Macaca mulatta: one gene and its partner. The protein of the gene in region 2 binds, or shares a complex with, the protein of the main gene of each other region. Links are inferred from orthologs where the notes say so. Each region holds a gene or a part of one and is shown on either strand. Other genes may lie near its edges.

The links. The genes of interacting proteins can lie anywhere in the genome.
Region 1: the proteins of GLB1 (region 2) and CTSA are in contact, whole or in part, in a cryo-EM structure (PDB 7KDV), measured with the Mus musculus proteins. The link is inferred for Macaca mulatta from reciprocal best matches to the Homo sapiens genes GLB1 and CTSA. Residues at the interface, in NP_033882.1 of Mus musculus: Tyr198, Asp199, Arg202, His206, Leu229, Thr233, Leu234, Gln235, Asp236, Leu237, Lys258, Phe259, Glu260; in NP_001033581.1 of Mus musculus: Glu29, Asp31, Ala37, Lys38, Gln39, Pro40, Ser41, Phe42, Arg43, Tyr107.

What each region holds. Positions count from the first base shown.
Region 1 is NC_133415.1:98,687,768-98,691,622, reverse strand, and holds part of CTSA (lysosomal protective protein precursor), read right to left. Parts: intron 3,488-3,855; coding exon 3,403-3,487; intron 2,827-3,402; coding exon 2,735-2,826; intron 2,657-2,734; coding exon 2,578-2,656; intron 2,537-2,577; exon of another isoform or gene 2,533-2,536; intron 2,486-2,532; coding exon 2,346-2,485; intron 551-2,345; coding exon 475-550; intron 1-474. UniProt on the Homo sapiens protein: Protective protein appears to be essential for both the activity of beta-galactosidase and neuraminidase, it associates with these enzymes and exerts a protective function necessary for their stability and activity.
Region 2 is NC_133407.1:15,448,222-15,453,105, forward strand, and holds part of GLB1 (beta-galactosidase), read left to right. Parts: intron 1-1,483; coding exon 1,484-1,634; intron 1,635-2,162; coding exon 2,163-2,223; intron 2,224-4,884.

The DNA.
Region 1 (3,855 bases), on a different chromosome or scaffold from region 2:
CCCATTTTACAGATGGGGAACCTGAGGCTCATATTTAAGAAATTTGCCCAAGATTATGTGTCTAGTACAGGGACTTGCACCCAGGCCATGTGACTCCAGAGCCCATGCTATGAACCACTGTGCTGGACAGAACCCGGTCCTAACCTGGCTCTGCCAGTGCCTCCTATATCACCTTGGACAAGGTCTCCTCCCACCCTGGACCTCAGCTAGCCCATTTTTGGCATGAATGAAGCTCTTCTCACCCTTAAGGCTCCTTGGCTGATCCAGACCACTTGGCCTCCTATAGCAGTGCAGCATGGGTGGGGACAAACCCAGGTTCAAATTCTGACCCCACCAGTCACAGTACCCTGGGCTTCACCTTTTGGAGTTTCAGCTTCCCTTGTCCTGACAGGAAGTCTAAAGGGTCCCCAGCTTGCTGTGCTACTCTGGGGTCCTAAGGCTGCTGGTGGATCCAGCTGTGCTGTCCCCACTCACCTGTGAACTAAGCAGCTTCAGATACTGGGAGTTCATGCTTCGGTAGAGACGGCGGTACTGTAAGTTTACCAGAAAGCTGCCGGGAACATACGCGCAGGCCCCAGGAAGACCAGGTAGGGGCGAAAAGTAGTCAACAGATCAGACCTTATCTCCTATCTCCAAGCTCCAACCCAGAAAGCAGACAGCTGGGTTCCACTCCTCTTTTTGGGGGGCCACCTCTCTAGGACTGACCTGGATGATGGGCTGGGATTCAGAGAGCCTCAACTCATCCCCATTTAGAAATGTACAGGGATGCCAGGTGCGGTGGCTCACACCTGTAATCCCAGCACTTTGGGAGACCGAGGTGAGTGGATCACGAGGCCAGGAGTTCGAGACCAGCCTGACCAACATGGTGAAAACCCATCTCTACTAAAAAAAATACAAAAATTAGCCAGGCATGGTGGTGCATGCCTGTAATCCCAGCTACTCAGAAGGCTAAGGCAGGGAGGCGGGAGGCAGAGGTTGCAGTGAGCAAGATTGCACCACTGCACTCCAGCCTGGGCAACAGAGTAAGTTACTCCATCTCAAAAAACAAAACAAAACAAAACAAAACAAAAAACACCTACAGGGACACGTTTTGGTTGTTACAGGGACTGGGATGCATCTGGCATTTAGTGTCTAGGGGCCAGCAGGTGTGAGAGTCACAACATATAACAAGGTAGAGTGTGAGCACTGACCAATCAAAATGGACCTGAGCAGCCCCAGATGGGCCCAGTGTCACCCTTTTACTTGCGGTGGTGGGGGGCTCACAGGAGATTGGACATGGAAGTAATAGTTTGTTGTTGTTGTTTGAGATGGAGTTTCACTCTTGTTGCCCAGGCTGGAGTGCAGTAGCATGATCTTGGCTCACTGCGACCTCCACCTCCCGGGTTCAAGTGATTCTCCTCCTTCAGCCCCCTGAATAGCTAGGATTACAGGCACCCACCACCACACCTGACTAATTGTGTATTTTTAGTAGAGATGGGGTTTTACCATGTTGGCCAGGCTGGTCTCGAACTCCTAACCTCAGGTGATCCGCCCACCTCAGCCTCCCAGAGTGCTGGGATAACAGGCATGAGCCACTGCGCCAGGTCAGAAGTAATAGTTATTAACCAATGTGGTGGCTGGGTGGGTAATCTCAGCACTTTGGGAGGCCAAGGAGGGAGGATTGCTTGAGACCAAGAGTTCAAGACCAACCTGGACGACATAGTGAGACCCTGTCTCTACAAAAAATTTTTTAAAAACAGCCCAGAATGGTGACATGTGCCTGTAGACCCAGCTACTCAGGAGACTAAGGTCGGAGAATCGCTTGAGCTAGGAGGTTGAGGCTGTAGTGAACTGTGAAACAACAACCAATGTGGCTACGTAATGAATTGGGGCTGGGCGGGGTGGCTCAAGCCTGTAATGCCAGTACTTTGGGAGGCTGAGGTGGGTGGATCACTTGAGCCCCAGAGTCGAAACCAGCCTGGGCAATATGGTAAAACACCATCTCTACAAAAAAATACAAACATAAGCCGGGGGTGGTGGTGTGCGTCTGTAGTCCCAGCTACGGGGGAGGTGGGAGGATTGCTTGAGCCCACGAGTTCGAGGCTGCAGTGAGCTGTGATCACGCCACTGCACTCCAGCCTAGGTGACAGAGTGAGTGAGACCTTGTCTCAAACAAAAACATTTAACATTTAAAAAAGAAAAAAGAATTGGCTGTCAATCCACTGAGGGGTCAGGGATGGATGTTAAACATCCTGTACAGCTCATCTCATCAAGAAACCCTACACAGAAGATCCCTAGGAACCTGCTGGTGCCCACAAGCCCCAGCAACCCACCACCCCCAGTCACAGGTGGCCACAGAGCCTCACTTGCACATGTCCCATTGCGGCAGCTGTTCCGGGATGTGGAGGGCCTTCCGCACGTACGGGTTGTTGAGGTAGGTGGAAGCAGCTGTCGTGTTGGTGCAGGGGGGGTCCATGCGCACTTTGTCCCCTGAGCGCAGCAATGCCTGGAGGGCACACACAGAGGGTCAGGGCCTCTGCTTCCCTGCCCCTGCCCCCGTCCCCACCTCACCAGGAGGAAGCCCACGCCCTTGCACACCTGATGCCACGTCCGCTTGAGTGGCAGGCGAGTGAAGATGTTGCCCAAATCCTGGACCACAACAGTGTCCTTCTCATACCTGCATGTGAGGTGGGGGGATGGGTGGAGCCTCCAGATGGGGCTGGGGTTGGCCCCAGGGGCACCCAGCAGCACCTACCTAAAATGGCTGGGCACCCCTCCAGCACAAGGGGCATAGAGGTTGTAGATGTTGAGGCCAGAGTTGCCCACGATGCGGGCCACTTCCTGAAGCTGCAATGATACACCGAGCCACCATGCTTTACAGATCCCTAGCCTCTCCACAACCCCACCAAGTTGTCCCAAGATTTATTGCTCTTGAATTTCACCTCTTCACCCACTTTTTTTTCACAGGTAGGGAAACTGAGGCTCAGTGGCAGGAATCTTCCCAGCCCTAGGTCCAAATCCTAGCATCACTGCCTCCCAACACTGACTTCAGACAGTGATTTCAAAATTCATGGCCCTCAGGTTTCCTTATCTGGAAAATGTGGGTAGTACGATCTCATTTGAGGAGGAATCTTGAAGCTTAAGTAATCTACATAGACACAGTTCAGCACAGTGCCCGCCACACTGCAGGTGTTTGATAAATGTGAAGAAGTCCTTTCTCCCTCACACAGGTTATGGGATTTGCCGCCATAGGAGGTGGTGGTGGGAATACACACTTAGACACATGTCCCAGAGAACACTATTGCTTAAAGGTGCAAGAAGGCAATGAGGGATGGAGAACAAGGAGTCCCCAAGGAGGGAATGTGGTCCCATTCTTGGGATTAGGGATGGGAGGGCTGATGCAGAGTGACGGCAGAACCTCACATTGGTCACGCATTCCGGGTCTTTGTTGTCATAGAAGTTACACTTGTTTTGAGAGCAGCAGTGGGTCTGGAGAGAAGACCAAAGCCTGTAGGAGATGAGAGTGAAAAGTGCATCAGCCTCTGGTGGGAAGAGGAGGGCAGAGGAGGCGAGCATACCCCCACCTCCCACCAACCTCCCTGACCCTAGGAGACTAGGAAAGGTATCACAGGGTATGGTCTGCACGTCACCTAAGCTAGCTCCCAAAGAGGTGCCCCAGGGTCATACAGACAGGCCTCCTTAGTTCCTTTAAAATCTGATCTCTGGCTGGGCGCCGTGGCTCACGCCTGTAATCCCAGCACTTTGGGAAGCCAAGGCGGGCAGATCATTTGAGGCCAGGAGTTCGCGTCTAGCCTGGCCAACAGCAAAATGCCATCTGTACTAAAAATACAAAAAAATTAAGCAGGTGTGGTGGTA
Region 2 (4,884 bases):
AGAAGTGTCCCCACCAAGTTTGATTAGCTTGGGGAGCTGCTGTAAAAATTCATAACAAGGCCCCTCCCAAGAGGCTGCCAAATGGGAAAGTCTGTGTGTCCTGTGGTTTATGGTTCTACAAACAGTTTAGACATTTATGTAGGAGATCTGGATTTTTGAGCTCTTTCCCCTTCCACAGAGCACCTCAATTCAATTATTTATGCAAAATATAATTATAAAAAGCTTAAAACATGACTTACAAACAAATATATAACGGACATATATCAGAAATGTATTTAACTGGATAAAGAAAATGTGGTACATATATACCATGGAATACTACAAAATCACAAAAAAGAATGAGATGATGTCCTTTGCAGCAACCTGGATGCAGCTAGAGGCTATTATCCTGAGCAAACACAGGGATGGAAAACCAAATACTGCATGTTCTCACTTATAAGTGGTAGCTAAACTTCGAGTACATATGGACACAAAGAAGGGAACAACAGACAACGGGGCCTTGAGGGTGGAGGGTGGGAGGAGGGTGAATACCCCTATCGTGTACTAGGCATATTACCTGGGTGACTAAATAATCTGTACACCAAACCCCCATGACATGCAATTTACCTGTATAACAAACCTGCACATGTACCCCTGAACCTAAAATAAAAGTTTTGAAAAATTTATTTAACTTGTTACCGAGGAAACTAGCTATATGGTGAAGCCAATTCAAAGGAGAATTTGAGGAAGGGAGGTTTACAGCCAGTCAAGAAAGGCATGTTCAAATAAAGTTATCTTTAGAGATAAAACTGGTTAATATCATAAAGGGCAATGAATGAAAGAGTTACCTTTGGAGTTGTCTTCTCTGTATGACAATCATCATTTGTTTCTCTCCCAGGCAATAATCTACAAATTAATCTGTAACTTCAAAGTTCTTCCCTTAATCAATAGTAAATAGTAAGTCAAACAAAATATTTCCCTTGGAGAATGAAAGAAGCCTCAGTGGGCCCATTGGACAGTCCTCCATTATAACATGGAAAGGAAATGCAGTCACTGTTTTGCCTTATATCCAAATTCTGGATAATTTTTCTTTTCTTTTCTTTATTTGTTTTGACACAGGGTCTCTGTCATCTAGTCTGGAGTGCAGTGGCACAATCACAGCTCACTGCAGCTTCAACCTCCCGAGCTTAAGCAAACCTCCACCTCAAGCCTCCAGGGTAACTGGGACCATAGGCATGCACCCTGGCTAATTTTTTTTGTAGAGATAGGGTTTCACCACGTTGCCCAGGCTAGTGTCAAACTCCTGGGCTCTGCCCACCGTGGCTTCCCAAAGTGCTGGGATTAGAGGCCTGAGCCACGTGCCAGCCTTGGATCATTTTTCTTCCAAAGCACCTTCTCCCTCTTATCCTTGTGTTAGCAATAGTCATAATGAGGCCCCTTCCCCACTCTTCCTTCTTCTTGACTCTGCCAAGTATCCAGGAAGGGGCTGTGTGTATCTTGGCAGGTATGTGCCCTGGAACTTTCATGAGCCCTGGCCAGGACAGTACCAGTTTTCTGAGGACCATGATGTGGAATATTTTCTTCGGCTGGCTCACGAGCTGGGACTGCTGGTTATCCTGAGGCCCGGACCCTACATCTGTGCGGAGTGGGAAATGGTGAGTGTGGCTAGACTGGGTTCTGCCTGGTGTGTGAGTTGGCAGGCAGCAGCCCTGGGGCAAAGGGCATTAAGGCAGACCTGCATTCCAGAGAGCATGGGGCCTGGGACTGTACCCAACACAGGTGTCTTTTACCTTGGCAAGGTACCCAGGCAGAGAGAAGCAGGCCGGGGTCAGGGCATGGGCTCTCCTCTTGGTGGTCACTCATATAACTCAGGTTGCTCGTCTGTAAGAAGCAGTTAATGGTGTCTTCTCTGTCTACCTCGCAGGTAGTTGTGAAACTAAATTGAACAATCTTTATGGAAAAGGCTTTGGTCCTCAAAACATTGCATTCATGCAGAGTGATCTTAATTGTACTACATTCCAATGTCTAATTTCCCTGCAAGTTATAAACCAAAAAGCCCAGCTCAAATACCTCTTGTCCCTTGAAGCTTTTATTCTTTTCCATAACTGCTAATAGTAATTTCTGTCTCCTCTGAGCTCCCTTCACAGAATGGACATTATAATGGCTTATTTTTCCTGACCTAGGGAGGATTACCTGCTTGGCTGCTAGAGAAAGAGGCTATTCTTCTCCGCTCTTCCGACCCAGGTAAGTTGTTACAGATGTCTTGAGAAGATTTATAAAAGCTTCAGGCCGTTGTGCACATGTACCCTAGAACTTAAATTATAATAATAATAAAATTAAATTAAAAAAAAAAGAAAAACAGCTTCTGGCTAGGTGCGGTGGCTCACACCTGTAATCCTAGCACTTTGGGAGGCTGAGGCGGGTGGATTACCTGAGGTCAGGAGTTCGAGACCAGCCTAGCCAATATGGCAAAACCTCGCCTCTACTAAAAATACAGAAAATTAGCTGGGCGTGGTCGTGGGCGCCTGGAATCCCAGCTACTCAGGAGGCTGAGGCAGGAGGATTGCTAGAACCCCAGAGGCAGATGTTGCAGTGAGCCGAGATCGTGCTAATGCACTATAGCCTGGATGACAGAGCGAGACTACGTCTCAAAACAAACAAACAAACAAAAAAAGCTTCAACAATTTTTATCGAAAGGGGGAGGTATTTTGAAGTTTGGGGTACCTCTGCACAAATACTTTTGAAAGTTTACTGAAAGTCTGAGTGTTTATCACCGTCCAGTGCATAGCACCAAACTAAACCTCTAGGAAATTAGGCTCTGAACTACTTAACCAGATCTTACTGATAAACTGGTAATTCTTTGAATTGGCATTGAGCCCTGTTTGCGGTTGACCAGCTGACTTCAATGCTTTCTCTTCCTATTTACTTAGCATATTCCACAACCAATGATAGCACCTAGCTAATCAAAATGACAAGCCAGGCATGGTGGCTCACACCTGTAATCCCAGGACTTTGGGAGGCCAAGGAGGAGGGATCGCTTGAGCCCAGGAGTTTGAGACGAGCCTAGGTTACATAGTGAGACCCCATCTCTAAGAAAATTTTAAAATTAGCCAGGTGTGCTGGCATGTGCCTGTAGTCCGGCAGGCTGAGGTGGGAGGATTGCCTGAGCCTGGGAGGTTGAGGCTGCAGTGAGCCATGATTGCACCACTGCACTCTAGCCTGGGCAACAGAGAGGGACTTTGTCTCAAAGAAAGAAATAAGGCCGGGCACAGTGGCTCAAACCTGTAATCCCAACATTTTGAGAGGCCGAGGCAGGCAGATCACCTGAGGTCGGGAGTTCGAGACCAGCCTGACCAACGTGAAGAAACCCTGTCTCTACTAAAAATACAAAAATTAGCCAGGTGTGGTGGTGCATGCCTATAATCCCAGCTACTTGAGAGGCTGAGGCAGGAGAATTGCTTGAACCTGGGAGGCGGAGGTTGCAGTGATCCCAGATTGCGCCATTGCACTCCAGCCTGGGCAACAAGAATGAAACTCTGTCTCAAAAAAAAAAAAAGAAATAAAAACAAAATGACAGTTTCTGGGATGGTGTCATTGGATTGCTTGGTAGCTGCAATGCCTTCTATTTTTGTCTACTTCTACAGAGCAATGTGTAAATGATGGTTTTTTTCTTTGTCTTGCTCCAGGACCTTCATGTTTTGCACACTTAGCATATTATTGGTGTTTTCATATGTAGTAACTCCTTTAATCCTTATGCCAACTTTATGTGGCATGTACTTTTATTATTCCTATTTGACAATATAACTATATAATTTGTTAGAACTTCATTTTATACAGAAAAAAATCTTCCTGTGACTGAGAAGAGGACACACTGTTCAGTGACTCTTTTCTTCATTCAGCAAACGTTGCTTGGATATGTTCTATGCTCCAGGCTTTGTGTCCGTCCTATGGCAAGGATGGTGTCTTAGTCCATTTTCTGTTGCTTGTAACAGAATACCTGAAGCTGAGTAATTTATAAAGAAAAGCATTTATTTCCTACAGTTATGGAGGCCGAGAAGTTCAAAGTGGAAGGGCTGTATCTGGTGAGGGCCTTCTTGCTGGTGGGGACTCTGCAGAGTCCTGAGGGGGCACAGGGCATCACATGGTGAGGGGACTGAGTGTCCTAGCTCAGATCTCTCTGCCTCTTCTTATAAAGCCACGAGTCCCGTTCCCATGATGACCCATGAATCCACTAACCTATGAATCTATTAATCCACGAGTGGATCGATCTGCTTATGAGGGCTGAGCCCTCAAGACCCAACGCCTCTTAAAGGCCCCACCTCTCAGTGCTCCCGCACTGGGGATTCTGTTTCAGCGTGAGTTTCGGAGGGGACAAACATTCCAGCCGTAGCAGACAGATACAGGCACGCTGGTCCTTGTCCCCTGAGGAGCTCAGCTGAGGAGACAACTACATGCAGGACGACTTTTATGAGACTTTTATTTCAGAAGGTACTTGTTGAGTCCCGTATATCCTGATCTCTGCTGCCAGCCCTGGTGTAATAAAGCTGCACTGGCTGCATTGGGGTCTCTTTGTACTAAAAGGTGTGTGATGGTGTTAAACCAGGGGTGTTCAATCTTTTGGCTTCCCTGGTCTACACTGGAAGAAGAATTGTCTTGGGCCACACATAAAATACACTAACACTAATGATAGCTGATGAGCTAAAAGAAAAAAAAAAGCCTGCAAGCCACATGCAGTGAATTTCTGAGTGCAGAAATTCTGGCCTCCCAAAGTGCTGGGGTTACAGGCTTGAGCCACCGTGCCCAGCCGAAAAACTCAGAATGTTTTTAAAAAGTTTACAAATTTGTGTTGGGCCACATTCAAAGCCATCCTGGGCTGCATGTGGCTTGCAGGCTGTGGGTTGGACA